Linked DNA regions of Lonchura striata. The main gene of each other region encodes a partner of the protein of the gene in region 2 in a complex. Links are inferred from orthologs where the notes say so. Each region holds a gene or a part of one and is shown on either strand. Other genes may lie near its edges.

The links.
Region 1: the proteins of calpain-2 catalytic subunit (region 2) and CAPNS1 are in contact, whole or in part, in a crystal structure (PDB 1KFU), measured with the Homo sapiens proteins. The link is inferred for Lonchura striata from reciprocal best matches to the Homo sapiens genes CAPN2 and CAPNS1. Residues at the interface, in NP_001739.3 of Homo sapiens: Ala2, Gly3, Ile4, Ala5, Lys7, Leu8, Ala9, Arg12, Glu13, Glu16, Phe60, Arg366, Arg416, Arg417, Arg418, Arg420, Asp494, Ile516, Phe551, Glu575, Lys578, Val581, Asp582, Asp585, Gly588, Ser589, Gly590, Gln641, Leu642, Gln644; in NP_001003962.1 of Homo sapiens: Thr85, His86, Ser88, Asp111, Asp112, Met113, Glu114, Ser116, Thr118, Asp142, Arg145, Ser146, Ala149, Val150, Met151, Asp152, Ser153, Asp154, Thr155, Thr156, Gly157, Gly160, Phe161, Glu163, Asn206, His208, Leu209, Met212, Ile213, Arg215.

Annotation. Positions count from the first base shown.
Region 1 is NW_027461156.1:27,650-42,257, reverse strand, and holds the start of CAPNS1 (calpain small subunit 1), read right to left. Parts: upstream 6,446-14,608; 5' UTR 6,433-6,445; coding exon 6,398-6,432; intron 5,562-6,397; coding exon 5,528-5,561; intron 4,622-5,527; coding exon 4,532-4,621; intron 3,540-4,531; coding exon 3,482-3,539; intron 3,336-3,481; coding exon 3,271-3,335; intron 3,129-3,270; coding exon 3,060-3,128; intron 2,308-3,059; coding exon 2,229-2,307; intron 930-2,228; coding exon 813-929; intron 1-812. Other genes in the region: CLIP3 (CAP-Gly domain-containing linker protein 3), read right to left, coding at 11,326-11,380, 12,599-12,668, 14,013-14,077. UniProt on the Homo sapiens protein: Regulatory subunit of the calcium-regulated non-lysosomal thiol-protease which catalyzes limited proteolysis of substrates involved in cytoskeletal remodeling and signal transduction. Essential for embryonic development.
Region 2 is NC_134607.1:21,347,219-21,362,394, reverse strand, and holds the start of calpain-2 catalytic subunit, read right to left. Parts: upstream 7,097-15,176; coding exon 6,860-7,096; intron 6,091-6,859; coding exon 6,021-6,090; intron 61-6,020; coding exon 1-60. UniProt on the Homo sapiens protein: Calcium-regulated non-lysosomal thiol-protease which catalyzes limited proteolysis of substrates involved in cytoskeletal remodeling and signal transduction. Proteolytically cleaves MYOC at 'Arg-226'.

The DNA.
Region 1 (14,608 bases), on a different chromosome or scaffold from region 2:
TCGATTTTTGGATTTCCCCCCAATTTTGTTATTTCCCCCCTGATTTTTGGATTTCCCCCCAATTTTGTTATTTTCCCCCCGGTTTTGTGATTTCCCCCCAATTTTGGAATTTTTCCCCCCCGATTTTTGGAATTTCCCCCCCCCCCAATTTTGGAATTTTTCCCCCCGATTTTTGGATTTTCCCCCCAATTTTGGAATTCTTCCCCCCGATTATTTGATTTCCCCCCGATTTGGGATTTCCCCCCCCGGTTTTGTGATTTCCCCCCAATTTTGGAATTTTCCCCCCTCGATTTTGGGATTTCCCCCCAATTTTGGGAATTTCGCCCCCCCCCCCCGATTTTTGGATTTCCCCCCAATTTGGGATTTCCCCCCCGATTTTTGGATTTCCCCCCCGATTTTTGGATTTCCCTCCAATTTTGAGATTTTTCCCCCCGATTTTGGATTTCCCCCCAATTTTGGAATTTTTCCCCCCCGATTATTGGATTTCCCCCCAATTTGGGATTTCCCCCCCCCGGTTTTGTGATTTCCCCCCAATTTTGTGATTTCCCCCAATTTTGTTATTTCCCCCCCACCCCCGATTTTTGGATTTCCCCCAATTTTGGAATTTTTCCCCCCCGATTTTTGGATTTCCCCCTAATTTTGAATTTTTCCCCCCCCGATTTTTGGATTTCCCCCCGATTTTTGGATTTCCCCCCAATTTTGTTATTTCCCCCCAGTTTTGTGATTTCCCCCCAATTTTGGAATTTTTCCCCCCCGATTTTTGGATTTCGCCCCAATTTCGGGATTTTCCCCCAATTCCGGGGTCTCCCTACGGAACATGGCGTCCAGGCGCACGAGGCAGCTGATGAAGTTGTCGAAGTCCAGGTTCCCCCCCTCGTCCCCGTAGCGACGCCCCAAAACCGCCCAAAGTTGGGGGGGCAGCCGGAACCCTGGGGGGGGGGGGTGGGATGGCCACAGGTGACCTTTGACCCCCAAAAAAATGCCTTCAAACCCCCCAAAAATTCCCCAATTCCCCCCAAAAACTGCCCCCCAAATATCCCCGTTTCCACCCCAAATAATCGCGACCCGACCCCAAATCCTTCAAACCGCCCCAAATCTTCCCCCCAAAATATCCCTGACCCCCCCCCCCAAAAAAAAACCAGCCTGGACTCCCCAAAACCCAAAATCTTGGGGGATTTTGGGGTTCCTGGAGGGTTTGGGGTAATTCCAGGGGGATTTTGGGGGTCCCATGGGGAATTTGGGGTCACCCCAGGGGGATTTTGGGGATCCCAGAGGAATTTGGGGTCACCCCAGGGGGATTTTTGGGGTTCCCAGGAGAATTTTGGGGTTCCAAGGATGACATTGGGAGTCCCAGGGGAATTTGGGGTCACCCTGGGGGAATTTTTGGGGTTCCCAGGAGAATTTTGGGGTTCCAAGGATGACTTTGGGAGTCCCAGGGGAATTTGGGGTCACCCCAGGGGGAAATTTTGGGGTTCCCAGAGGAATTTTGGGGTCACCCCAGGGGAATTTTTGGGGTTCCCCAGGAGAATTTTGGGGTTCCAAGGATGACTTTGGGAGTCCCAGGGGAATTTGGGGTCACCCCAGGGGAATTTTTGGGGTTCCCAGGGGAATTTGGGGTCACCCTGGGGGAATTTTTGGGGTTCCCAGGGGAATTTTGGGGTTCCAAGGATGACTTTGGGGGTCCCAGGGGAATTTAGGGTCACCCTGGGGGAATTTTGGGTTCCCAGAGGAATTTGGGGTCACCCTGGGTGAATTTTGGGGTTCCCAGGGGAATTTTGGGGTTCCAAGGATGACATTGGGAGTCCCAGAGGAATTTAGGGTCACCCTGGGTGAATTTTGGGGTTCCCAGGGGAATTTGGGGTCACCCTGGGGGAATTCTGGGGTTCCCAGAGGAATTTGGGGTCACCCGGGGAAATTTTGGGGATCCCAGGGGAATTTGGGGTCACCCGGGGAAATTTTGGGGATCCCAGAGGAATTTGGGGTCACCCCAGGGGAAATTTTGGGGTTCCCAGAGGAATTTGGGGTCACCCCCGGGGGGCTGGATTTTGGCAATCCCTGATGATTTTGCTGCCACCCCTCATTAATTCCAACCCTCACCCCTAAAAAACCCCCCAAAACTCCCCCATTTCCATTTCCTGCACCCCGAAACCTCTTCCCGCCAGCCCCCCCAAATTCCTTCCCCCCAAAAAAACCCAAAATCCCCCAAAATCCCCCCAAAAATCCCCAACCTGCGGCCTCGAAGGCCCCCGGCAGCTCCTGGGGCCCGATGGTGCCCGAGCGATCGCTGTCGAATTGTTTGTACACGCACTGGGGGTGTACAAATTTTGGGCACCAATTTTGGGGGGTCCCGCACCCCCAAAATCCGCCTCACCCCCTCCCCAAAACTCGGGGACCTTCCCAAACCCCAAAATTCCTCCCCCCGCCCCTCCCAAACCCCAAAAATCCTCCCCCCATCCCCCTTTAAAGAACTTAAAAAATCCTCAGTTCCAAATTTTAGGGGTGCCTGCCCCCCCTAATTACCTAATTACCCCACCCCCCCCCAAAATTTTGGGGTGTTTGGGGGGTCCCCTACAACCCCCCCTCATGGTTTTTAGGGGGGCTGGGATTTAAGAGGGGAAATTTTGGGGTCCCACCCCCCGGTTTTTTGGGTTCCTCCCTCGATTTTGGGGTGTCCCTGATTCTGGGCTCCCACATCTATTTTTTTTTTTGGGGGGGGTCACATTTTTTGGGGTGTCCCCCTAATTTTTGGGTCTCCTCCTAATTTTGGGATCTCCCCCAGCTTGGAGTAACCCTGGATTTTGGGATGCCCACCCCAGTTTTGGGGCCCCCATCCCCATTTTTGGGGTGGCCCCCCCCCAATTTTGGATTTTCCTCGATTTTGGGGCTCGTTTATTTTAGGATCCCCCCAAATTTTGCCTTCTCCCTCCATTTCGGGGTCTCTTTTCACCCTGAGCACCCCAATTTTGGGATCCCGTCCAACTTCGGCCTCCCACCCCATATTTTTGGGGTCCCCCCACCCCGATTTCGGGACCTCCCCAAAAAAATTTTGGGGTCCTCACCTGCCACTTCTTGATGTTGTTCCAGAGGTACTTGAACTCCTCAAACCCCAATTTCCCGGTGGTGTCGCTCTGGGGGGGCTCGTCAAGGACATTTTGGGGGGCACCGGGGACCCCCCCCATTTCCCCGCACCCCAAAACCTCTGGAGGATCCCCCAAATCCCCCCAAAATCCCCCCAAAATCCCCCAAAATCCCCCCAAAATCCCGGGGTACGTCCATGACGGCCACCATGCTCCGGCACGTGTCCAGCCCGAAGCCGTCGGTCTTCAGGTCGGGATCTGGGGGGACCACGGGGGATTTTGGGGGGGCCCCGAGTCCCAGAGCCCAGCAGGGAGCCCCGAGGGCACCCCAAAATCCCCCCCGAGCCCCGAGGGCACCCCAAAATCCCCCCCCAAGCCCCCGGGGGTTTTTGGGGGGCACTCACGGCGGGTGACGACCCTGTTGAGGATGTTCATCAGCTCGGTGGGGCTCACCTCCATGTCCTGGGGGGAACGGGGGGTCAGGGGGGGCTGCGGAGCCCCAAAATCTTGGGGGAACCCCCGAAATCCTGGGGGAGCCCCCGAAAGCCTGGGGGAACCCTCGAATTCTTGGGGGAACCCCCAAAATCCTGACCCCGAATCCTGGGGGAACCCCCAGACCCTGATCCCCTTAAAGTCTGAAGACTCCCAAATCCTGACCTCCAAAAACCCCAAAATCCTGACCCCAAATCCTGACCCGTCTCCGCAAAGTCTGGGGACCCCCAAATCCTGACCCCGAATCCTGGGGGTACCCCCAAATCCTGACCCCGAATCTTGGGGGACCCCCAAACCTTGGGGGTTCCCCCAGATTCTGACCCCAACCAAGAGGTTTCAAGGGATCAGGTGGATCCCAGTGTACCCCAGTACACCCCAGTGCACCCCCACGGATCTGGGGGTCCCGGGGGTCCCGGGGGTTGGGGGTGCTGGAGGTCGGGGGTCGGGTGTCCCAGGGGTCCCAGGGGTCGGGGGTCCCGGGGTTTGGGGGTCCTGGGGTCGGGGGTGTTGGAGGTCAGGGGTTGGGGGTCCCAGGGGTCTCGGGGTCGGGGGTCCCAGGGGTCAGGGGTCCCAGGGGTCGGGGGTCCCAGGGGTTGGGGGTGCTGGAGGTCGGGGGTCCCGGGGGTCCTGTGGGTCCCAGGGTCGGGGGTCCCGGGGGTCCCAGGGTCAGGCGTCCCAGGGTCGGGGGTCCCAGGGTCGGGGGTCCCAGGGTCGGGGGTCCCAGGGGTCCCGGGGTCGGGGGTCCCGGGGTCCCAAGGGTTGGGGGTCCAGGGGGTTGGCGGTCCCGGGGTTCCAGGGGTCGGGGCTCCCGGGGGTCTCTGGGGTCGGGGGTCCTGGGGATTCTGGGGGTCCCGGGGTCCCAAGGGTTGGGGGTCCCGGGGGTCCCGGGGTCGGGGCTCCCGGGGGTTGGGGGTGCTGGAGGTCGGGGGTCGGGGGTCCCGGGGGTCCCGGGGGTCCCTCACCTCCCCCGCCAGCTGCGTGAAGAGGCGCCGGAACTGCCGAACCTCCTCGCTCTCGTTGGCATCGACCGTGGAGATGTGGGCACGGGGGGGCTGCGGGCACCCCGAAAACGGGGTCAGGGCACCCCGAAAACGGGGGGTCAGGGCACCCCGAAAACGGGGGGTCAGGGCACCCCGAAAACGGGGTCAGGGAACCCCAAAAACGGGGTCAGGGCACCCCGAAAACGGGCTCAGGGCACCCCGAAAAAGGGGTCAGGGCAACCCGAAAACGGGGTCAGGGAACCCCAAAAATGGGGTCAGGGCACCCCGGAAACGGGGTCAGGGAACCCCAAAAATGGGGGTCAGGGCACCCCGGAAACGGGGTCAGGGCACCCCAAAAATGGGGGTCAGGGCACCCCAAAAATGGGGTCAGGGCACCCCGGAAACGGGGTCAGGGCACCCCAAAAATGGGGGTCAGGGCACCCCAAAAATGGGGTCAGGGCACCCCGGAAACGGGGTCAGGGCACCCCAAAAACGGGGTCAGGACACCCCGGAAACGGGGGGTCAGGGCACCCCAAAAACGGCGTCAGGGCACCCCGAAAACGGGGGGCAGGGCACCCCAAATCTGGGGTCAGGGAACCCCAAAAACGGGGTCAGGGAACCCCAAAAACGGGGTCAGGGAACCCCAAAGCCTGGACCCCAAACCCGGGGGGGGGATAGAGGACCCCAAATCTGGGAGGGGGACACGGAAGGGAGACAGGGGACCCCAAATCCGGGGTGGGGGGGGACAGGGGACCCCAAATCCGGGGTCGGGGGGGTCAGGGGACCCCAAATCCGGGGTTGGGGGGGTCAGGGGACCCCAAATCCGGGGTGAGTGGGACAGGGGACCCCAAATCCGGGGTGGGGGGGTCAGGGGACCCCAAATCCGGGGTGGGGGGTCAGGGGACCCCAAATCCGGGGTGGGGGAGTCAGGGGACACCCCGAGGGTCCCCAGGGAGGGAGGGGGCGGGGGTCACTTACGGGGGGCTCGGGGTTGTAGTGGGCGGCGGCTTCGCTGTGGGGGGGTGGGCAGAGGGGGTCACCCCAAAATGTCACCTGCCCCCCCAAAAGTGTCACCTGCCACCCCAAAATGTCCCCCCAATGTCCCCAACCCCCAGTAGCCGTCAGTGTCCCCCCCAATGTCCCCAATCCCTCCAACCCCCCCAGTGTCCCCAATGTCCTCAAATGTCCCCAATGCCCCCCATGTCCCCAATGTCCCCCCAGTGTCCCCAATCCCCCCAATGTCCTCAAATGTCCCCAATGCCCCCCCAGTGTCCTCAATCCCCCCAATGTCCCCCCAATGTCCCCCCAATGTCCCCCCAATGTCCCCAGCCCCCGTGTCCCCCGCTGTCCCCTCACCTGATGGCACTGATGACGCCCCCCAGGACCCCCAACCCAATGTCCCCCCAATGTCCCCCCAGTGTCCCCAACGCCCCCAATGTCCCCAGTGTCCCCAATCCTCCCAGTGTCCCCAATGTCCCCAGCCCCCGTGTCCCCCGCTGTCCCCTCACCTGATGGCACTGATGACGCCCCCCAGGACCCCCAACCCAATGTCCCCCCAATGTCCCCCCAGTGTCCCCAATCCCCCCAATGTCCCCAGCCCCCCCAATGTCCCCAACCCCCGTGTCCCCCGCTGTCCCCTCACCTGATGGCGCTGATGACGCCCCCCAGGACCCCCACCCCAATGTCCCCAATGTCCCCCCAGTGTCCCCAATACCCCCAGTGTCCCCAATGTCCCCCCAATGTCCCCAGCCCCCCCAATGTCCCCAGTGTCCCCAATCCTCCCAGTGTCCCCAATGTCCCCAGCCCCCCCAGTGTCCCCAGCCCCCGTGTCCCCCGCTGTCCCCTCACCTGATGGCGCTGATGACGCCCCCCAGGACCCCCATGGCCCCCCCGGCGCCGCCGCCGCCCCCCCGCTCAGGAGCCCCCCCAGGACGGAGCCGATGCCCCCCGGGAGGCCCCCCCGGACCCCCCCCCACCGCCCCCGCCCCCCAGCAGCCCCTTCACCAGGAACATGCCGGACTGGGAGCTACTGGGAGGCACTGGGAGGTACTGGGGGGCACTGGGAGCTACTGGGAGGGCACTGGGAGTTACTGGGAGGCACTGGGAGGTACTGGGGGGCACTGGGAGCTACTGGGAGGTACTGGGAGGGCACTGGGAGCTACTGGGGGGTACTGGGAGCTACTGGGGGGTACTGGGAGGGCACTGGGAGTTACTGGGAGGCACTGGGAGGTACTGGGGGGCACTGGGAGCTACTGGGAGGTACTGGGGGGCACTGGGAGCTACTGGGAGGTACTGGGAGGGCACTGGGAGCTACTGGGGGGTACTGGGAGGTACTGGGGGGTACTGGGAGAGCGCTGGGGGGCACTGGGAGAGCGCTGGGGGGCACTGGGAGCTACTGGGAGGGCACTGGGAGGTACTGGGAGGCACTGGGAGGCACTGGGAGCTACTGGGAGGGCACTGGGAGCTACTGGGAGGTACTGGGAGGGCACTGGGAGCTACTGGGAGGTACTGGGAGGGCACTGGGAGCTACTGGGAGGTACTGGGGGGCACTGGGAGGTACTGGGGGGTACTGGGGGGCACCGGGAGTTACTGGGGGGCACCGGGAGTTACTGGGGGGCACCGGGAGTTACTGGGGGGGCACCGGGGCGGCACTGGGAGCACTGGGAGCGGCTGGAAGAGAAGCAGACAGCACCGTTAGGCGACACCCGGGGTACCGGGGGGGTTCCGGGGACCCCCCAGACCCTCCCGGGACCCCCCGGGACCCCTCCCCGGGCTCCGGTCCCGCTCCGGTGCCGCTCCCGGGCGCGGCTTTCCGGGACTGGGCGGGGCCGCGCTGAGTCACGGTTTGGGGGGGGGGGGAGGAGAGCACCGGGAGGGTCCCGGGGGGTCCCGAGGGGTCCCGGGGGGGTCCCGGGGGGGTGGGGGGGGTTCGGTACCTGCGGGAGCGGCGCCGGTCCGGAGCGAGCGCGGAACCGGAACGGGGAAAGGGGCGGGGCCACGCGGGGGGGGCGTGGCCGGGGAGCCGCCCGGGGGCGTGGCCTCGGTGGGAGGGACCAATGGGGGCGCGCCCTGGGCGTGGCCAGGGGCGGGGGCGTGGCCTAGACGTTCATATCTCCTCTAATAGGCGGGGTTAACATGGGGGGCGTGGCTAACTCCTTGATTGACAGCAACGCCCCTTAGCGCCCATCAGAGTGGGCGTGGCCAGACGCGTGATTGACAGTCGGGCCCGCCCCACAGGGCGGGGTTATGCAGATTAACGGTGAATACCAAATGAGTCACGGCGTGACGTCACCGCCGCGCGCCGGGACAAGATGGCGGCGCTGGGGGGGGAATTTTTTGGGGGAGGAATTTTTTTGGGGAGGAATTTTTTGGGGGAGGAATTTTTTGGGGGAGGAATTTTTTGGGGGAGGAATTTTTTGGGGGGTTCCCTCCCCCACCCCCACCTCACTTTTGGGGTCTCCCCCAATTTTGTCCTCCCCCATCCACTTTTTGGGGTTCCCCCCCCCCCCCCCCAAAATTCCCCCCAAATTTGGGGGGTCCCCTCCCCCACTCTGAAGTCTCCCCCTCCCCCCATGTCCTTCAGCAGTTTTAGGGTCCCTCCGTGTCGCCCCATCCCAAATTTTTCCCCCAAAAAATCCCTTTTTCCCCCATTTCCCCATTTTCCCTCCTATTTCCCCCATTTCCCCCCCACAATTCCCAATTTTTTTCTCCATTTCCCCCATTTTCCCCCATTTTTCCCCCACTTTCCTCCTTTCTTTTCCTAATTTTTCCCCCTTTCCTCCCATTTCTCCTGTTTCCCCCCATTTTCACACATTTCCCCCATTTCCCTCCCAAATTTCCCAATTTATTTCCCCATTTCCCTCCATTTCCCCAATTTTCCCCCAATTTCCCTCATTATTTTCCCATTTTTTCCCCATTTCCCCCATTATTATCCCCATTTCTTCCCATTTTCTGCACTTCCCCACAAATTCCCCCATTTTTCCCATTTCCCCCATTATTTACCCATTTCCCCCCCAATTCCCCCATTTCCCCCCATTTTCACCCTTTCCCCCCCAATTTCCCCAATTTTCCTCACATTTTCCCCATTTTTCCCACAATTTTTCCACATTTCCCCCACATTTTCCCAATTTTTTTCTCCATTTCCCCAATTTCCCCCATTTTTCCCTATTCCTCCCATTATTTTCCAAATTCCCCCCCACAATTTCCCCCATTATTTTCCCAATTTCCCCCCATTTTTCCGTTTTCCCCCAAAATTTCCCCAATTTTTCCATTTTCCCCCAAAATTTCCCCATTTCCCCCCAAGATTTCCCAATTTCCCCATTTTTTTCCATTCCCCCCAAAATTTCCCTATTTCCCCATTTTTTTCCATTTCTCCCCAAACTTTCCCCATTTCCCCATTTGTGTCCATTTCCCCCCCAAAATTTCCCCATTTTTGTCCATTTTCCCCCCAAAATTTCCCCATTTTTTCCATTTCCCCCAAAATTTCCCCATTTGTTTCCATTTTCCCCCAAAATTTCCCAAAATTTCCCCCCAAAATTTCCCAAAATTTCCCCCCAAAATTTCCCAATTTCCCCATTTTTTCCATTCCCCCCAAAATTTCCCTATTTCCCCATTTTTTTCCATTTCCCCCCAAACTTTCCCCAGTTCCCCATTTGTGTCCATTTCCCCCCAAAATTTCCCCATTTTTGTCCATTTTCCCCCCAAAATTTCCCCATTTCCCCATTTTTTCCATTCCCCCCAAAATTTCCCCATTTGTGTCCAATTTCCACCAAAATTTCCCCATTTCCCCCCAAAATTTCCCAATTTCCCCATTTTTTCCATTCCCCCCAAAATTTCCCTATTTCCCCATTTTTTTCCATTTCTCCCCAAAATTTCCCCATTTCCCCATTTGTGTCCATTTCCCCCCCAAAATTTCCCCATTTTTGTCCATTTTCTCCCCAAAATATCCCTATTTCCCCAGTTTTTTTCCATTTCTCCTTAAAATTTCCCCATTTCCCCATTTGTGTCCATTTCCGCAAAAAAATTTCCCCATTTTTGTCCATTTTCCCCCTAAAATTTCCCAATTTCCCCATTTTTTCCATTCCCCCCAAAATTTCCCCATTTGTGTCCATTTTCCCCCAAAATTTCCCCATTTCCCCCCAAAATTTCCCAATTTCCCCATTTTTTCCATTCCCCCCAAAATTTCCCCATTTCCCCATTTTTTCCATTCCTTCCAAAATTTCCCCATTTCCCCATTTTTTTCCATTCCCCCCAAAATTTCCCCATTTCCCCCCAAAATTTCCCCATTTCCCCATTTATTTTCCATTCCCCCCCCCCCAAATTTTGCCATTTTCTCCCAATTTTTTCCCATTATTTCCCCCAATTTTTCCATTTTCTCCCAATTTTCCCATTTCCCCCCGAATTTCCCCCAATTTTCCGGTACAAAGGATTTTATTGGTGGCAGAAGCGGCTCCGGGGGGGCCCATGCGGCAGCGGGGGAGGGGAGGGGACATTTTTTGGGGGGAGGGGACATTTTTGGGGACATTTTTGGGGACATTAAAGCCACTGACACGAGCGGGGGTGGGGGAGGGGCGTTATTGCTCCTGCGGGGGTGGGGGAGGGGCGGCCAGGAGGGACCCTCTGGGACCCCTCCCCCACCTCGGGCCCTGGTTTTGGGGAGGGGTCGGGAGGGGGGGAGAAAATAAATAAATAAATTCTAAAAAAAAAAAAAAATCAAAATTTTGATATTTTTTGATCGATATCCCCAAAATATTATCCGGGAAAGGGGCGTGGCATCAATTCCCGACGTTAATTAATTCATTCATTCATTAATTCCGGAGAGAACAGCCCTAATTATTTTACTGGGGGGGGGGGGTGGATTCACCAAAAAAAATTTGGGGAGTGGTGGGCGTGGCATGGATCCCCCCCCCAAAAAAATAATCGATAAATTCCGGAGTGAACAGCCCAAAAATTGGGATTTGGGACCCCCAAAATGGCCCGGGAAGGGGCGTGGCCTCAACCCCCTTAATTAATTATTTAATTGATAGATTCCAGAGTGAAGACCCCCGAATTTGGGGTTTTGGGGGGTCTGGCCCCTCCCCCATCGCTGTTATTGGCAGGTTTGGGCCCAAATTTGGGGGTTTGGGGGGTCTGGGGGGTTTTGGGGGGTCTGGCCCCTCCCCCATCGCTGTTATTGGCAGGTTTGGGCCCAAATTTGGGGGTTTGGGGGGTCTGGGGGGTTTTGGGGGGTCTGGCCCCTCCCCCATCGCTGTTATTGGCAGGTTTGGGCCCAAATTTGGGGTTTTGGGGGGTCTGGGGGGTTTTGGGGGGTCTGGCCCCTCCCCCATCGCTGTTATTGGCAGGTTTGGGCCCAAATTTTGGGTTTTGGGGGGTCTGGCCCCACCCCATCGCTGTTATTGGCAGGTTTGGGCCCAAATTTTGGGTTTTGGGGGGTCTGGCCCCACCCCCATCGCTCTTATTGGCAGGTTTGGGCCCAAATTTGGGGTTTTGGGGGGTCTGGCCCCACCCCCATCGCTCTTATTGGCAGGTTTGGGCCCAAATTTGGGGTTTTGGGGGGTCTGGCCCCTCCCCCATCGCTGTTATTGGCAGGTTTGGGCCCAAATTTGGGGGAGGGGCCACGCCCAACGCCCCTCCCCCAGTGCGGAATGTTCCAGAAGGAACAGCCCGGGAGGAGGGGGAGGGGACAGGGGGGGACGGGGGGGGATGGGGCGGGTGGGGGAGGGGCTCCAAGGCACTGGGTGGGGGAGGGGCGGTGGGGGGGGGAGGGGCGGGGGGGGTTAGGATTGCATCTCCGCCCGGAGCATCCACGGGAACCAGCAGCAGAACAGCAGCCTGGGGACACGGGGACACCCATGGGGACACCCATGGGGACATGGGGACATGGGGACACCCCTGGGGACACCCCTGGGACACCCCTGGGACACCCATGGGGACATGGGGACACCCATGGGGACACCCATGGGGACATGGGGACACCCATGGGGACACCCATGGGGACACGGGGACAGGGGGACATCCCTGGGGACATCCCTGGGGACACCCATGGGGACATGGGGACATCCCTGGGGACACCCCTGGGACACCCATGGGGACACGGGGACAGGGGGACATCCCTGGGGACACCCATGGGGACACCCCTGGGACACCCATGGGGAGGTGGGGACACCCATGGGGACACCCCTGGGACACCCATGGGGACATGGGGACATCCCTGGGGACACCCCTGGGGACATGGGGACATCCCTGGGGACACGGGGACACGGGGACGTGGGGACACCCATGGGGACACCCCTGGGACACCCCTGGGGACACCCATGGGGACATGGGGACACCCCTGGGACACCCCTGGGGACACCCATGGGGACACGGGGACACGGGGACACCCCTGGGGACACCCATGGGGACACCCATGGGGACATGGGGACATCCCTGGGGACACCCCTGGGGACACGGGGACATCCCTGGGGACACCCCTGAGGACATGGGGACATGGGGACATCCATGGGGACACCCATGGGGACACCCATGGGGACACGGGGACAGGGGGACATCCCTGGGACATCCCTGGGGACAACCCTGGGGACATGGGGACATCCCTGGGGACATGGGGACACGCGGACATGGGGACATCCCTGGGGACACCCATGGGGACACCCCTGGGGACACCCATGGGGACACCGGGACATGGGGACATCCCTGGGACATCCCTGGGGACAACCCTGGGGACACCCATGGGGACATGGGGACGTCCCAGGGACGTCCCTGGGGACACGGGGACATGGGGACACCCCTGGGACATCCCTGGGGACACGGGGACACGGGGACATGGGGATATCCCTGGGGATACCCATGGGGACACCCATGGGGACATGGGGACATCCCTGGGGACATGGGGACATCGCTGAGGACACCCCTGGGGACGCCCCAGCAAGGACAGGTCCACCCCCAGGGACACCTCATGGGGACAGGGCCACCTCTGGGGACAGCGTGGGGACAAAGCCACACCCCGGGGACAAAGCCACCCGGCGGTGGACCTGTCCCTGTCCCCACCTGGAGAAGGAGCTCTCGGATGTGATGTCCTTGGGGGTCCGCACGGCCGGGAAGCGTTTGGGCTGTGACACTGCGGGGACACGGGGACACGGGGGACATGGGGGACACGGGGGACACAGGGGACATGGGGGACATGGGGGACACGGGGGACACAGGGGACATGGGGGACATGGGGGGACACGGGGGACATGGGGACACGGGGACATGGGGGGACATGGGGGACATGGGGGGACATGGGGGACATGGGGACACGGGGACACAGGGACACGGGGGACATGGGGGGACATGGGGGACATGGGGGGACATGGGGACATGGGGGGACATGGGGGGACACGGGGACATGGGGACACAGGGACACGGGGGACATGGGGGGACATGGGGTGACATGGGGACACGGGGACACAGGGGGGACATGGGGACATGGGGACACGGGGACACGGGGGACACGGGGACATGGGGGACATGGGGACATGGGGACATGGGGGGACATGGGGGACATGGGGGGACATGGGGACATGGGGGACATGGGGGGACACGGGGACATGGGGACACGGGGACACGGGGGGACATGGGGGGACACGGGGACATGGGGACACGGGGACACGGGGGGACATGGGGGACACGGGGGGACATAGGGGGACATGGGGACACGGGGGGACATGTGGGACATAGGGACACGGGGACACAGGGGGACATGGGGGGACATGGGGACATGGGGGGACATGGGGGACACGGGGGGACATGGGGGACACAGGGACATGGTCACATCACCCGCAACAGCCAATCAGCAGTGCCAACCCTGCCCCGCCCACCTGTCAATCACTGCCCGCCCACCTGTCAATCACTGCCCTGCCCCGCCCACCTGTCATGGTCACACCCACCCGCCAATCATTGTCACATTCACCTGTCAATCACTGCCACGCCCACCTGTCAATCTCTGCCACACGACCTGTCAATCACTGCTACACCCACCTGTCAATCACTGCCCCGCCCACCTGTCAATCACTGCTACACCCACCTGTCAATCACTGCCCCGCCCACCTGTCAATCACTGCCACACCCACCTGTCAATCACTGCCCCGCCCACATGTCAATCACTTCCCCGCCCACCTGTCAATCACTGCCCGCCCACCTGTCAATCACTGCCCCACCCACCTGTCAATCACTGCCACACCCACCCGTCAATCACTGCCCCGCCCACCTGTCAATCACTGCCACACCCACCTGTCAATCACTGCCCTGTCCACATGTCAATCACTGCCCCGCCTACCTGTCAATCACTGCCCCGCCCACATGTCAATCACTTCCCCGCCCACATGTCAATCACTTCCCCGCCCACCTGTCAATCACTGCCCCACCCACCTGTCAATCACTTTCCCCCACCCGTCACTCATCGCGTGGCCCCGCCCCTCACCTGTGACGGGCTGTCCCTTCTTTTCGGCGCCGCCGTCCCCGGGCTCCTCCTTGGGCCCCCCGACCCTGGGGGTGACACGGGGACAGGGGGTGACCCCCGTGTCCCCTCGGCGACCCCTGCGACCCCTCGGTGACCCCTGTGTGACCTCCCGATGACCCCTGGCCCCGTGTCCCTCCCCACCCCCACATCCCAGTGACCCCTGGTGACCTTCCCGTGTCCCCCGTCACCTCCCTGGACCCCACTGTCCCACCCCGGTGTCCCCCACTGTCCCCTCCATGTCCCCCCATGTCCTTCCCGTGTCCCCACGTCCCCCCATGTCCCCCCATGTCCCCCCCGTGTCCCCCCCGTGTCCCCCCATGTCCCCCTGTCCCCCCAGTGTCCCCCCCTGTCCTTCCCGTGTCCCCACATGTCCCCCCCATGTCCCCCCGTGTCCCTCCCGTGTCCCCCCCTGTCCTCCCCGTGTCCCCCCATGTCCCTCCCGTGTCCCCCCATGTCCCCCCCGTGTCCCCCCGTGTCCCCCCCATGTCCCACCCGTGTCCCCCCGTGTCCCCCCCATGTCCCACCCGTGTCCCCCCGTGTCCCCCCGTGTCCCCCCC
Region 2 (15,176 bases):
GGGCCAGAATTTCTTCATTCAGGGTGAGAGATGCAATGGCTGCCAAGAGCCAACAGTCCCCTGTAAAAAGAAAAGGAAAACAAACAAACAAAAAAAACAGACAGCATTCATTATTCAAACTTTAGTTTTTGCACTGCATCAGGATTGTGCATTATAATCAATAATTCCCTCAGCTGGGATAGGATGATCCCTCCCATCACTTTATCTCTGAGACAGATCAAATACCCTCCAGATCCAGGCAAGTGTTTCCTCAAGACCAAAGTCATAAAATAAACTCAAAGCAGGTTTTTTCTGACCCACCACCGCAGTGATCACACATTTTGGCACTGTTTGAAAGAAAACTTAATATTCAATTGAGTGCCTGTATGATAAGAAGAAGCACAGAGAAAAGGCAAAGAACCTGTGGGCACACACGGGTACTTAGGGATGCAGTTTCTCCTCAAAGGTGTTTTCTCAGGCATAGGCTGCATTCTTTTCCCTTCTCCATGTTTGATAAACATGTTCCTTGCTATCCAGAGACCTGTCCTGCAGGCAAGTTTCCTTTAAGGTCTCTTGCCAGCTTCCCTGCAAACAGGAGCTCCTTTCACATCTCTGGAGGCTCTTGCTCGAGGCCTCTCTGTTTAGTCCCATGTCTGGCCTCCAGCACAGTCACTAGAGAGCCAGGAAAAACCTGAAGGCAGACACTGTTTCCCAGTCCCACACACCTCCTCATCCTGCCTGGGATGGAGCCAACAAACACTAGCCCTGCACAGCACAGGCTGCCTGGACAGTGTTTTTCCACACCATCTCCTGCCACACAGAGAGAGGAAGAGACCCCAGCTCTATAAACATTACACCTCTACTTTCTGTAATTCTTTTCAGAGCACAGTTTTACTTTAGCAGAACAGTCACCTTTCTGCTCAGCCATGAGCCTCCTGCAGCCCATTAGTGAGGTGGTCAGAGATTTCCAGAGCCAGATGATGCTCTGACTGCCACAGCCCAACACAAACCTCCTTGTTACCATCCCCAGATCCGCTGTTCCCTTGCTTTGTGAACAGAGGGCAGCTGGTATTGTACATGAGATCCCACAAAACAGCCCTGCAGGACTGCAGCTTCAATGTGTGAACCTGCCACCACCTTGCTGTCAGCAAGCTAGAGGCCAGCAAAGCAGCAGTCCCTACCTCTCTCCCCTAGAAAAAGGCTCAAAAGCTTATGGGTGAGAAGAGGGGATCCAAATGGGACAAAGTCTCAGGGTGAATGAACCCTAAAGCAGTCCTCGAGGTCCACCCTCAGGCCCAAATCCATCAGTGCTCACACAACACCAGCAGGAACATGGACAACCTGCAGCTCCCTCCAGGCTGCCCTCGCTTGGCACAGCTGCCTCCCAGGTCAGCTCTGAGAAATACATCTGTCCCACACATCTTCTCACACCTCAGGAAAGGTGGAAGAGGTGAAATTGCAGAGTAATTTCAAAACCTAAAATGCTTATACTGCTTCACAACCTGGAGGGGAAGAACCGAGCATAAAACTTCCCCTTCAGCCCCGCCTCTGTCTGCTTGTACTGCAATGGAAAAATCAGCATGTCAGACAAGTTTCTAAACAAGAAAGTCACCTTGCTATTCTCCTGCGACAGACTACGAAGCAATGATGCAATTCCCCTCCCTATTCTGTCACAGCACATCCACTTTGCCCTGCAAAGTGGTGACTCCTCTCACAGCCTCCTCCAAGGAGCTGAGAACCTCTTCCCTGGGAGCTGCATGCAGAGGTAGCACTATGTACTGCAAAGGTGTTTGCTGAGAAAGACAAGGCCAGGAGGAAAGAGTCTGGCTCAGAGGGCAGCTGTCACACCATTCTTCTCAAGAAAAATTAGTATTTTATTCCATACCCAGGGCAGGGGCTGGGCAGGCAGGGAGCAGCACAGGAAGAACAAATGGACCACTCAAATGGCCACAGCAGCTCAGGAAGGCTTGGTCAAGAAGCTGATCAGGCCTCCAGATGATGAACATACACTTCAATGCTGCAACACATCTTTGAGTCATGCTTCCTCTGGAGGTAAGAAGCATGGAAATTCAAGGAGAAACACCCTTCAGAGGACCACCACACCCACAAGGAGAATTTATAAAGAATTTCCTTTGCTTTCTAGCTGTCTCATCAAGGCAGACTGAAATTACAGCATGTTGTAAAATCTCTGTTGAACTTTATACTGGCTTCTAACAAGAATTTGAAGTAAAACACAAATCTTAACTCTGACAGCTCTGGGCAAGGTCTTGAGGTTTAAAGGCAGCTGCAGCATATATGGAAGACAACCTTTGGTTTCCACACTTAAAAGTGCCCAACAGCCAGGATATAATCTCTACCTTTGTGAACAGCCATCACTGTTCACAAAAAGCACACCTGATAATCCAGACTCCAGATGAGAACAGATCTAATGATTATACCTGGAATCTTACCACTAAGCAAGCTTGAGCAAGGTCTTTACCAAATAGCCTGAACATCCAGAACTGGTGCTTCTGCAAGGTTCTTGACAGTGATTTTCCTCTGATAGGGAAGGAAAGCCCAAGGAGAGGCTGACAGACAGTTGTTTAGAGCCTGAAAGGAGTGTTAGCAAGGCTACATTTATCATAAATAATTTTTGTAAATGAACAGTGGGCAGGACAAGGTTATCAGAAAAGGGAGTATTCTCAGGCTGTGAGTTTATCAATAACACATATTAACAAGAAGTACTATTTTTTTGTCCTATCATGCTTACTTTTTCCTGCTTTCAGTGTTTTACTTGTTATTTCCATATACCCATGCCTGCATTTACCTAATCTCCAGCGGTAACAAGAACACTAGGAAAAAAAAAAGTAATTGCAAGGTAAGCATAAATAGCTGTAAGAGCTTAAAATTAGCCATTCTGGAAAGAAAAGGCAAACAAAATACACCCATCAAAATGCCTGAAGGCGTGTAAGCAAAAGGCAGCTCCTCTGGACACTGCACAGCTCATGCAAGAGTATGGGGTAAAAGGAAAAATGTACATTCTGCCAATCACAGACTCATCATTATTTTAAAACACTCTTAGATGAACAGCTACTGAATGTATTTATATTAATACCACAGCACTCCAGAATGTTTTCTGGTTACAAACATGAGGCTGTGGCAACCCACTGGCAGTAGAGTGGCTGTCAGCATGAGGAAACCAAGGGTCTGATTTTCAAATTCAACCTATTCAATTTGTTATTTTTTTACAATGGGCCAGCCTGTGAGCCCTCTGCTTTTGCCAAGGCTTCTGCTCAGTTTGTGCAATGGCAACTCCTTGGCGGGGCTCTCCGGGGAAGATCTGGGAGCTGCAGGGATGTGCCAGGGGACAGTGGGGATCAAATGGCTTAGCCTAGTTGTGAGTGCACAGTCTGGAAGCCTCTCTCTTGTCTTGCTTGACAGAAGGAGTTTAGGTGGAGGATGTCCCAGAGATATGAGGAGAAGTAAAGTGAAGTGAAAGCAGTAGGCTCCTACTCCACAGCTGTAGTGAGTGAGAGGGGTTTGGATTAGACAGATAATGTGTTTGAGGGAAAGTCTCATGTGGGAAACATGACTAATATGAGCTGTGTTGTGCTGCTGCACTTGGCAAAGGAACCAAATTCTGTTTGTTTGCTTTCAGATATTCATCACATTACATCTTCTTAGTTTTTAGTCCCACTGCCGCTATTTGTAGGTTCATGTCCAAAAATGTAACAGGCAGAGAAACTTATATTTTATGCCTATGTTTTCATTCAGATGTTTTTTAAGTTAGTGCTTTGACAACCAGATGCAATTTGTATAAAAAATCCATGACAGTAAAACTACTTAGATTATGAACTCAGTTCTCCTCCTGCCCCGATATCTTTGGTGGTGTGGGTTAGACTCTGTTGTGCCTTGGGTTGTTACCATGTCACCAGCTTCCTTCCTGTGCTCTCTCCATCCAATACCACGTCTCCTGTCATGACTGTTTTGGCATGAAGCATGTCCCAGTGCTTAAACACATGTACCAGACATCTGTTATCTCTTTTAATTGTGAAGCTTTCTGGTAAAAAGTTCTTCAGATTGAAATTAAAGTTTACTGTAATGCCATGTCAACATCTGGCATTTCTGTAGAGATGCTGGTTTCTGGAATCACTTAGATGCTTTCTGGTTTTCTAGCTTTTCTCTGCAGATGCTGTGGCAGCAAGAGCATAGGAATGAAAGATTTGAAGCTTCGTTTTCAAGTTGTGAAATTGCTGTTGCTAATACCAGACACTGTTTTTAAATTGATGAAAGCATTTGCTGCCCTAGTGGTCTTTGGACCAGTCAGATGTTCCCATGGGGTTGTATGGTATCACCAGAGGATATGAAGTGACTCACAGCTGGTATTTTTGTACCTCCTGAGTATATCTGAATCAGAGGTTGTCAGTGTTCTTGTTTATATTTCCTCTTTCACTGTCTCTAAGTACTGCAGTGACTCTCCTGGCTGTCTTCTCATGAATCTGGGCAGGATTTTGGTCTTGTGTGACAACTGTTGATTAAAAATTAGATGCTTTTGATCTTTTCTCTGTATAGCCACTGAGTTCCTAAGAGCCTGGATGGAATCTCTGTTCTTTCACACAATGGGGCTGGCAAATGCACTGTACAAATTCTTTTTTTTTTTTCAACTGCCTTATCTGACACTAGCATTTGTATTGATAAATTTGCCTAAGCTTGCATTTACTTGATCTTTGTATTTACTTTTAGTGTCCATGTCCCATCACATTTTAGGATGTTATAGAGAAGATTTCATTGGAAGATATCAGGTGCTTTTGGAAACCTGTGCTTTTTATTATACTGCTTCTTTTCTATAGGAAGCTTTTGCAGTCTAATCCCTCAAAGGCTTGATCAAGAAGCAACAGACCTGTGCCCATGGGGAGTTTCACTGCTGTTGCTGAGCCCTTCAGATCATCTGGGAGTACTGCAGGGAGAGATGGGGCATCCAGAGCACATGGACTCATCACATCTGCAGGGCAGCTTCTTGGCAGGAAATGTGTAACCAAACAGTTCAGCTAATGAGCAGGGTTTCTTTCAGCTCAGTAATCTTTGGCCAGGTGCATAAATTTGTTTAATTGTGTTTCACCTGGACTATAAGAAACTGTGATCCATGTAAGGCAAAGCTGATCATCAGTGCAGAAAAGGTTTTCCAGGCACCAAATTCTTCCCCTTGGGATTTGGATTATCCTTTATTCTGGCCTTGTGAAGTTTTTTGGTTTTGGTCTGTTGTTTTTGGTCTGTTGTTTTTTCCTTAGGAGAAGCTTTTGAAGGAGAGTATTTGGAGTTGGTTTTGCAGTATCAGATCTGCAAAGTCAGTGATGGTATTTGGCTCCAAATGGCAGCACATGGGATGTAGTGACTCATTACAGCTGAGGGGAGGTTCCAAAGCCAGAGAAGCCTGGTTCACCCTTAGCCACCTTTTTCTGGAGTGGATGTCACCATGGTATCACAACACTGGGGTGTAAACAGCACTGGATCTCCCAGCTGCTGTTTGGATGCAGGTGTCTCCTCCTCACGTAACAAATCACAGGCTGGCCCATTCCTCCTGAAACACCCAAGTTTTGTCTTCCTCAAGAGCCGGTGACCCCCATACAACTTTTCTATCTACAGCATCTCCCCAGATTTCAGGAGATTCCTCCTGCCCAGCAGAATTCTCTCCCACTGGGGAAAGAGAAGTCATGCTACACACACAACTGCTCTTCCAAGCAGACTGTTAAAGGCAGAAATGAGTCAGGCTACTCTCAGGCATATGGATTTGAATGTGAAAGGAACAGGATATGATCAGAAAAACCATCAGGAAACCAGTGTGTCCCACCCCTGCTTGGTGCATGCAGAAAGACTGTGCTCAGTAACCACACTCATGGTCCCCACCTGCAAATGCCAAGGAAACATGAGAAAGGTCTGATTTGAAATGAATGGAGGTGGTAGGATGCAAAAGGAGGTATTAGAGTGAGTTACAGCCATGCGTAAACCATGTTGCCCTGGGGCAGCACCTGCATGGAAAACTCAGGTTTCTGCCCCCACCTTACCTAGGGCCCCTTGGCAGATGTCCGTGCGAGTGGCTCCGCCGGCTATGAACTGGGGGTTGGGAAACAGCTCCTGGGAACAAAACAGGCCTTGCATTACACGTAGCCACAGGTGAGGCAGGGAACAAGGCCACACTTGCAGCAAATTAACCAAACCATTGACCACGGGAGATGAACACCACAGAGATGGAGCAGGGCAGGAGCGGGTGCGGGCACCACACACACCAAGCACAGTGAGAACGGGAGCTGGTGACCAAAGCTCGTGTGCGGCCAGCTCACTTCACAGGACGTGCCAGGAGGTGCACTGCATTTCCACACATGTGCACACGCTGCTCTGCCATTACCTCCCCACCACTGACTACACCAAGGTCCTTCAGAAGTGCCTGGAGGCACCCTGGAGTCCTCCTGATCCCATGGCTCCCATGGCTGGCAGGGCTGCTTCGGGAATAAACCACACGGTGGTCAACTCACGGCTCTGCTGAAGGAAAGAGTTATCAGAAAAGACAGCCCCAAGCGCTACCCAAAGCGGTTTGTCCACACGGAGAGTTCTGGATGGAGAGGAAAATGACTTTTCTGACTTGTTTTCCAGGCAGAGCAAGTCACGCTGCCAGGCTGTCGCCAGAGCAAAGGGGATCCTCCGGTGCCCCGAGCATCCGCAGCTGCACCAGACGGGCGCGATGCTGCAGGACGGGAGGGCTCGCACCGCGCTCGGCAGCCGCGCCCCGACCCGCCGCCCCCGCACCATCCAATCCACCCAAATTCACGGAGCGAGGGAAGGAGGAAGCCGGGTGATACTGCAGAACGATGCTACCGGGGAGCCCCCCCATCCCCCGCCGCCCTACCGTGGGTCTGCGCCAGACGACGCCCTGTGTCTTGTGCGAGCGGGGCCCCAGCTCCCGGTAGCCGAGGGCGGTGGGGCCGGCGGGGAAGGAGGGGTCCTGGAAGAGCCGCCCCTCCTGCAGGCACTCCTGGCGCAGGGTCCCGAAGCGCTGCCCCAGGTAGGGCACAGCGCGGCCGTGCCGCCCCGCGCCCGCCGCCGCCGCCCGCTCCTTCGCCAGCGCCTCCGCCATCCCCGCCATCGCCGCCCCGCCCGGCCCGGCACAGAACGGCCCGGCCCGGCACGGCGCGTCCAGCCCCGCCCGTCAGCCCTCCGCTCCGCCCGGTGCCACGCCGCTGCTCAGCCCCGCCGCACCCCCGCCTTGGCTCGAGTGGCTCTGTGCCGGCAGCCGCGGTCCGAGCAGCTTCCCCTCCCGTGCCTCCAGCTCGCTGCCCCGTGCAGGAGCATCGCTGCCTCACTGGGCGCCTCAACAGCTTCACACCTGCTGGTGATCCTATTGCCACATGTACGCATCAATTCAAGAAAGCTGGTATTTTCCGTGTAAAAGCCAGAACTATCCATATAAATTCTCTAAGTTTAGGGAAAAAAATAAAAAAACAAAACAACCCCCCCCCCAATAAATTTTCTAAGTTTAGGGAAAAAAAATAAAAAAAAACAAAACACCCCCCCCCCCAAAAAAAAAACAACAACAAACAGACAAACAAAAAGGAAGGGAAAATATGTGTCTCGAATCCCACTATGGTATGTCTGTACCTGTGTTGTCACCTTGTTACAACTTTGAACATCGCAAGTAACAGAGATCACTTAGAGCCTGATTTGCTGGTGGTCACCACAGCACATGTTTTGCCACTGCTGGTGTGGACCCACCTGCACTCCCGGCACAGCCCAAACCACAAACAGTGAGGTTCCCCCCAAGCTTCCCGAAACACCTATCTGTGGTGTGGGGGGAGAGAGAGTCTCTGTTTTTGCAGTGAGTTGGCTGCCAAGAATGGCTGAAATGCTGCTGCTGGCACCCGCATAGAACAGCAACTCTCTGAGGGAGAATTCAAACCATTTGTTTCATATTTTAAGTCTGACTCAGGATGTGCTGGTGCCAGGCAGTGTTCCCTGGGCAGCACACAGAGGCCGGGAGCCCTTCATGCTGCACCCACCGCCCACAGTGGCACCTCTTTCTGCAGAGTTTTCCAAGTCCTGGATGCATGAAACAGTGCTTTGGAGCCATCCTATCTGACTAAAATGAACATTATTTCTTGAAGATGCTTAAACAACCTAAAATTACTGGCAGTACCATTTGCTGAGGTGTGGTGGGGAGTTTTCCTTCATTGCTGGTGCATGATTCTCCAAACCATTGTGTATCACTGTCCGTTTGCTTGCTAGTTTTGCACTTTCATCATTTATTATTCCTCTTCCTAAGCTCAGAACAGGTCCTACTTGCACAGTTCATGAGAAGCCATTGTCATTAAACAGGAAAAAGAGCTAAGCATTGCCCATTCCGTTCCCAGTGTAGCAGAGGAAGCCCCCAAAATCTATTTGAAGTTAGTCACTAATGGTCTGAGCAGCACATGTCTGTGTAGATCATGGCCACGCAAGAGGACAGCCCAGTTGTCCAAACCTGGAAGGCACAGTCCAGCTTCACTGTTCTTTGAAGATGCCTCCTGTCCCCTATGAGTCAGAAAGGCTCTCTTTATAAAGAGAATATTGGAATTTCTAGCAGTATATGGGAAATCAATCACACATGGAAAGCTGGAAGCAGAACCAGTAATGTTACATGCACTCAATTGAGGGTGTGCTTTTAGCCTAGCATAGGTCTCCAGCATGGCTGTGCTGAAGCTCGAGGAGGACACAGAGTGGCATTGGAGGATGGTTTTGCTCAGCTGTTTAGATTTGTTAAGCACTGCTGAGTTATCTCACAGGCAAGGCCATCTCCTGGACCAGGAGACAACAGCACCTCACCACCTGGAGTTTAATCGGCTGTGTTGCATCCTAATGTGAGGGATCTGGGAGCCATAGAGCTACTCAAAAAGTGTTTCTTTGGCTCCATGCAGTGCCTTGAGTCTGTACAGCTGCCACAGGTCAGATTTCTCTGGTTTTACGAGAGTCAGGGTTACAGGAAACCAGAGTCAGTTCAAAGCAATGGTTTCCACTCACAGTTTTGGTTTGTGAACACTTCTGCTCTAGCTATTTTCCAGCAGATGCAGAAGTTTGAGCTGGGTTGAAAATTTGACATATAATTGCTTTTCTTAGCTATCTCTACCACAGTGGAATCTGCTGGCGGCTGAGAACCTCTGCTGGACAGCAATCAAAACCAAGTGTGTGCAAGACTCTTACCTGGCTGCTCTGCTCAGTCAGAGCTGCCAGAGTTTTCTTAGAGTATCTGTGGTGAAATGAGGGTTAAGACTGAGACAAACAGTAAATGACATGAACAGAAGGGAACAAAGCCAGAAAGAGACTGAACCAGCAATGATTCAATTAAGCAGGGGGAGAGGGACCTGGGCAATGATGGAAAGATGTATATTTGCCAGCCAGGCTTGTTAGATGGTCCCAAACATATAAGGACCATGCTGTCCCATGTGGTTTAATGACAGGATAAGGATATACTGGTGTAATACAGAATTTCTCTTGTTATCTGGGAAGTTGGCTGTCCCAGCAGCCATCTGAATAGCCCCTGCCCACCAAGTCCTCTGCAGCCAGGTAATTCACCTGCTTCTACTTCCAGCACAGCAGCAGATGTGGATGGGAGTCCACAGTTTGAGGGAAGGAAGTTCTTTTGAGCACTACACCAGCCAATTTCTTCATTTTCTACATACTCACACAATGCACCCATTTTTTTTTTTTTTTTTTTTTTTAGAGAAAGAGGTGATTTCCACTTGACTGTGAGAGCAGTGTAATACTCTTAAGTAAAAATAGCAGTTCCATCAATAGTTACCCACTTTTGTCTCCCTCAAACCAGGCAATATCAGAAAGAAAAAGAAATCAGATTTCTTCTTAATCTCCCTGTACACCTGTAGCTCTTCAAAGAAGTCACCAACTCACATTTTGCAAGTGAGTGATTTCAGCTTTTGCTGCAGCAGCTCATTCTAGCTCCTGATAAGGAGCATCCAGCTGCCATTCACAGCATGGAGTTTCAGGCAGGATAGGCTTCTCTTTCACTGTGCCCACACTCAGCAATTGTGAGTAACCCAGAGCTGCTTTGCTTTGCATCATCCCTCCTCTCTCTTGCTCCTCTGTCCTTTCTCTGTACATGGATACTGGGGAACAAATGACTAACAGCTCAGGAAGGGAGGAAAGGACCCGTGCACCTTCTGGGCTCCTGTTCTCCTTCCCAGGAACTGCCCCCTCCTCATTAGGATGAGGGTGGTTTCCCAGGGGAAGAAGCTTGCAGTAGCAGTAGTAGTATTTCAAGAGGAAGGGAATTGCTTTCCTGTCTGAAGCTGGGATCTGGAGAGGTACTGAGCTTTCCCCAACATTACAAGCTGGCTCCAGCCCTGGCCAGTTCAGTGTGAGGTGTCAGAAAGACCTGGGTCATCCTGCAAAATCCAGCTATCCTTCCCAGCTTCCTTCCCAGTGCTGAACCATCATTCTGGATCAGCCCAACTCATGAATTACTCAGGCATTACTTCTGCAGGATGTCATCTTTCTCCTCCTCAGGCACCAACAATTTCATGGCTTTTATAAAACAACCAAGCAGTATCAGAGCTAATTTTAGATGTGTTTCCCAATAGGGAAACTGCCAGGCTTCTTGTGGCAACCCTTCCCTCCCCAAACACTCAGATTAAAAATTGCAACCTTTAAAACAATAATCTTAGAGACAAACATTTAGGAACTTTCATAGCTCCCAATGGTGTTCCTATTGATAGTCACTCCATTGTCACAGTAATAGGGTGGATAGGAACCCATACATATAGAATATGAGAAAACAAGCTCTCTGAATGAAAATGATTTGTTTTTATGCTGCAGGGCCTACAGTAAGTACAGTGAAGCAGGTTTAATCCTCATCAGCCAAGTGATGCAGTACAAGAGAGTCCTCTTATTTCTCTCTAATGCTCTATATCAGAAACATACCTGAAGCTGCTGGGTAATCAGCAGTTATTTTCTTCTAAAGATTTCCCCATTTAAAGAACAGTCCTGACTGCATGGAATTTTCAGTCTCTTCTTTGAAATTCAGGTGATGCATTTTTCTGGTTTAATTGGTTCTTCTTTATTCCCCTTCATCCTCTCGCTATCATCACGAAATGGGGAGAGGGAAAGGAAAGCAAGAAGAGCCAGGCAAAAATATGCAAATCCCAGAGGCAACAAAAGTGAGAATAATTGTTATAACTATTAACCCTAAGGGTTAATGCCACTTCAGCAGCAGTATTTGAGTCATGGGGAACCTTAAATTTTTTTTCCTCCTATAATACAGCTGTCAGCTATTGCTGTAGTCAGCTATAGTCTTCATCATCTCCTTTATAACCTCTAGATGGTGCTTGTGTATCACATTCTACACAAAATAAAACATGCTGCTGCTAATCAAGCTTAGAAAATGGATTTGAAGTGCTGTGACAAATCACTGGAATCAAATAGTTGTGGTGGGCACACTAGGTGGTCACCAGGTCCAAACCTCCCCCAGAAAAAGGGGTTGTCCTCAGCCTCTTTCCAAACATAAAAACTGAAATTCATTATTAAAATCTGATAGTATTATAGAATGGTTTGTGTTGGAAGAGACCCTAAATATCATCTTGTTCCAGCTCCCCTATCATGGGCAGGGGCACCTTTCACTAGAATAGAGTGCCCAAAGGCTCATCCAACCTGGCCTTGAACACTTCAGGGATGAGACACCCACAGCTTCTCTGGGAAACCGGTTCCAGAGCGTCACCATCCTTACAGTGAAGAATTCCTACTTAATGTTTAATCTGAACCTCCCCTCTGTCAATCTGAAGATACATTCCTGTTTGTCTTATCACTACAAACCCTGTAAAAATTCCATCTCCAGCTTTCTGGTTGCCGCCTTTAGGACCTGGAAGGCGCTCTAAGGTCTTCCTGGAGCCTGTTCTTCTCCAGACTAAAAAAAACCCTGTTCTCTCAGGCTGTCTCCAGAGTGGGGGTGATCCTACCTTTCATCTGTCTTTCCCTGTTACACTCTGGTGATGCACAAGGGTTCACCCTGCTGAAGCCTGCTCACCTCTACCTTTCAGGAAAGGAAACAAAATCTTGTGATTTCAATGGGGATCAGTTTGGCAGCTTTGGTCCATGGCCCTGCACTTCATGGCATCCCATGCCTTTGGATGGATTTCACTTTGGTGAAGATTTTTTTTTTTTTTTTTCAGTATCTATACCATTTCACTCATATTTTCCCCTCAGTGTTCTCTCTTCCTCCTTGATTTTCCCCCTGATCTTGCAGCATCTCTGAGATTAGTTTTGGCATATTTTGCTCCTTTCCACTGCACATCATTTGCTCCCAGACCATTTTCTTGTGGTCACTGCATTTCCCAATTTTCCTTTTTTATTTTCTCAATCGCATTTCACTTGATCATATCTCCTTTCCAGAGTCTTTAGGAGACTTAGGAGACTTTCTTTTCTGTTTCACAAGATTTCATTTCTTTTCCCAAAAGGAACCAAAGTTTTGGCATCAAACAAATTTTTGTTAGTTTTTACTTGTTTTGGAAGTTACTCATGCAGAGACTATTTTGTACATATAAGATGGTGGTCCTATGAAGAAATCCATTTTCCATAAATATTAATTAACCCAGGCTGAGATACATAGTGTTGAAATTATAATTTTTTAAATGGTGGCTCTCTGACAGTTTTTACATTTCAAAAAGCTCCCATGTGTACTAGAATATAATACTAAGAGGCCATTAAATTCATGTTCTGCAGAAATATCTGATCTCCTCTTAATGACCATAGTACTTGACCCATTAATTGCCTTCTTCCTTCCCTCTAACTTCCTGGATAACTTCTTTATCAAGTATCTGAAGAAACCCATTCACAGGGGCTTGGTCACTAATGTAAGCCTTTCACATTGTGTAGGGGAGGGGTGTAAGGAGGACAGCATTCACAAGTCAGTGCTGTGAACGTGGCAAAGGAAGAATTAGAAAAATAATCCTGTAATAGTCCTATTCTGGTCTGATCAGCACAGTCATCATTTTTCCAGGAAGAAATGATTCCAGAAAAAGTGACAGGTTCATAGTCAAGATACTGACACAGATACATTCAGTCAAGGCAGCAGTAGGGATGGAAAATGCTGTTATTTTTCCATTCCAATGCAGAATAAATCCCTGCCTGTGTACATACAAGCATCCTGGGGCTTGGGTCATTTTTATGCTAGGCAGAAAAAACATCTACTGAGCGACACAGAGAGAAATTATAGTATATCAACTGATAGTATGACATTTCAGCTTCATTGTGGCAAAGGGGTCAGTAGTTCTGGTGACAGCCTCCCAGGGCCACTGAGAGGAAACAGAGCTTGAGATGGCTGTCATTCTGTCCAGGGATAGATCTTAAGGGTCTTTTCCAACCTAAATGACTCCACGATTCTGAGACCAGTATAATATTTGTCCTTGCACTATTAAAGGCTGTGGTTTTGTCACCCCCACCAGGCTGCCTCTGGAAACTTCCCTCCTTTTTTTTGCAGCTGTGAATACAACATGCTTACACTGCACCAAGCAGAAACACTGGGGATCCAGTTAGCTGAAGAGAAGACAGATTAGGTGTTTTGATAAACAAATGCTGCAATGTGAGTCGTGCAGCAGAAAGATCTGACATGGAAGAGGTGCTTATACAGCCACACTAATCAGGCCATAACTTGAGAGTGCTTTTATTGTAGTCATGTCCCAACAGCAGAGCTTGGATCCAGTTGATAGATGGAGACCTCTGATCACTGAATGGTGAGTCATTAGTGGTACCTTTTCCTTCTGTTTTCTCTCTTCCGATCAGTGGAATTCTGCCGCTTCCTTAACATTAGCTGCTTAGCAATTTCTCCATGAGTGATATGAATCCCTCTGCTCCATCTGCTCCCTTGCATACAGAACCACAGTTAAATAAAGGCTGGGCTATTTGAGCAAAAAATATGTGTTTCTGAGAGCCAAGGACTTGGTAGCAATTCTCAACTTGCAAATGTGGCAGTGTGCCCTTCTGTTGTGAGAAATGCCACTTTGAGGCCACACAGTGCTGATGCTGAGGCAGTTTTCCCGTACCATGCTCAAAGTCTTCCTGCACACACAGCACTTTACAAGCTGAAGCCTGTTCTCCTAGCCTGCCTGGAAATTAAGTTTTACTTGCCTATTTATCAGACTTGCCAGAGACAAAATGAAAAAGCTCCTTTGCAAAAACCTTCTCACTTGAACCACTTTGGGTTAGATTTGCAGGCATTTAAGACACCCCAAGTGCTGGTCAGATACCTTATGCAAAACACAGGTATTTAAGCAGATCAGGCACCCTCCTGTACTTGCAAGTTACAGGTACTTGGGATGCTCGTAAAACTATTGACAAGAAATCCCAACACCTCCTTATGCCCTGAGGCAATGACATGGCCATCTCCTTTTTTGGGTTAGACCAAACTTACTTTCCACAATGAAAAAACAATAGACAAATTAGAGAAGGTGCTTTACAGAAAGTCTCAATAGAAATATCAAATCTTAGGTCAGAATGCATATTAGGAGGTCCCTGGTTGTGTTTTCCCCTACTCTCTGGAATAATTTGTGACATTCTCTTTCAGAAACTGACTTAGTTTTAAGCATACATACAATTATTTCTGTGGTTTTTGTAATGTTCTGTGTCTTATCTACCACCCTTACAGCTGCAAAGCAGATTGATGATTTGGTTGAAGTAGACTATTCCTTAAGTGGCTTGTCAGCAGTATTCCAACCATTTATTGACCTGGACTTAAAGGTACTTGCCTGTAGTGCTGTTTGCCTACATTACTGTGGGGTCCATTATTCTATGAGACACATTTATAAGATGACTGTGATTGTACTCTGAACATAAAGGCTCACTATCTTGGAAGACAGACATTTCAAAGCATTATTGCATTTGTTACGGTAATACTTTGTAACAGTACTGTTGTGAAATGAGTTATTTAAAAGCCACATCCTTTTCTTTAAACTGCTGTTGAGTTGGTTGTAAAAAATAGAGAGTAGTTAAAGTTGACTAAACCAGATAGAAGAAAAGGGAAAGGGAAAGGGAAAGGGAAAGGGAAAGGGAAAGGGAAAGGGAAAGGGAAAGGGAAAGGGAAAGGGAAAGGGAAAGGGAAAGGGAAAGGGAAAGGGAAAGGGAAAGGGAAAGGGAAAGGGAAAGGGAAAGGGAAAGGGAAAGGGAAAGGGAAAGGGAAAGGGAAAGGGAAA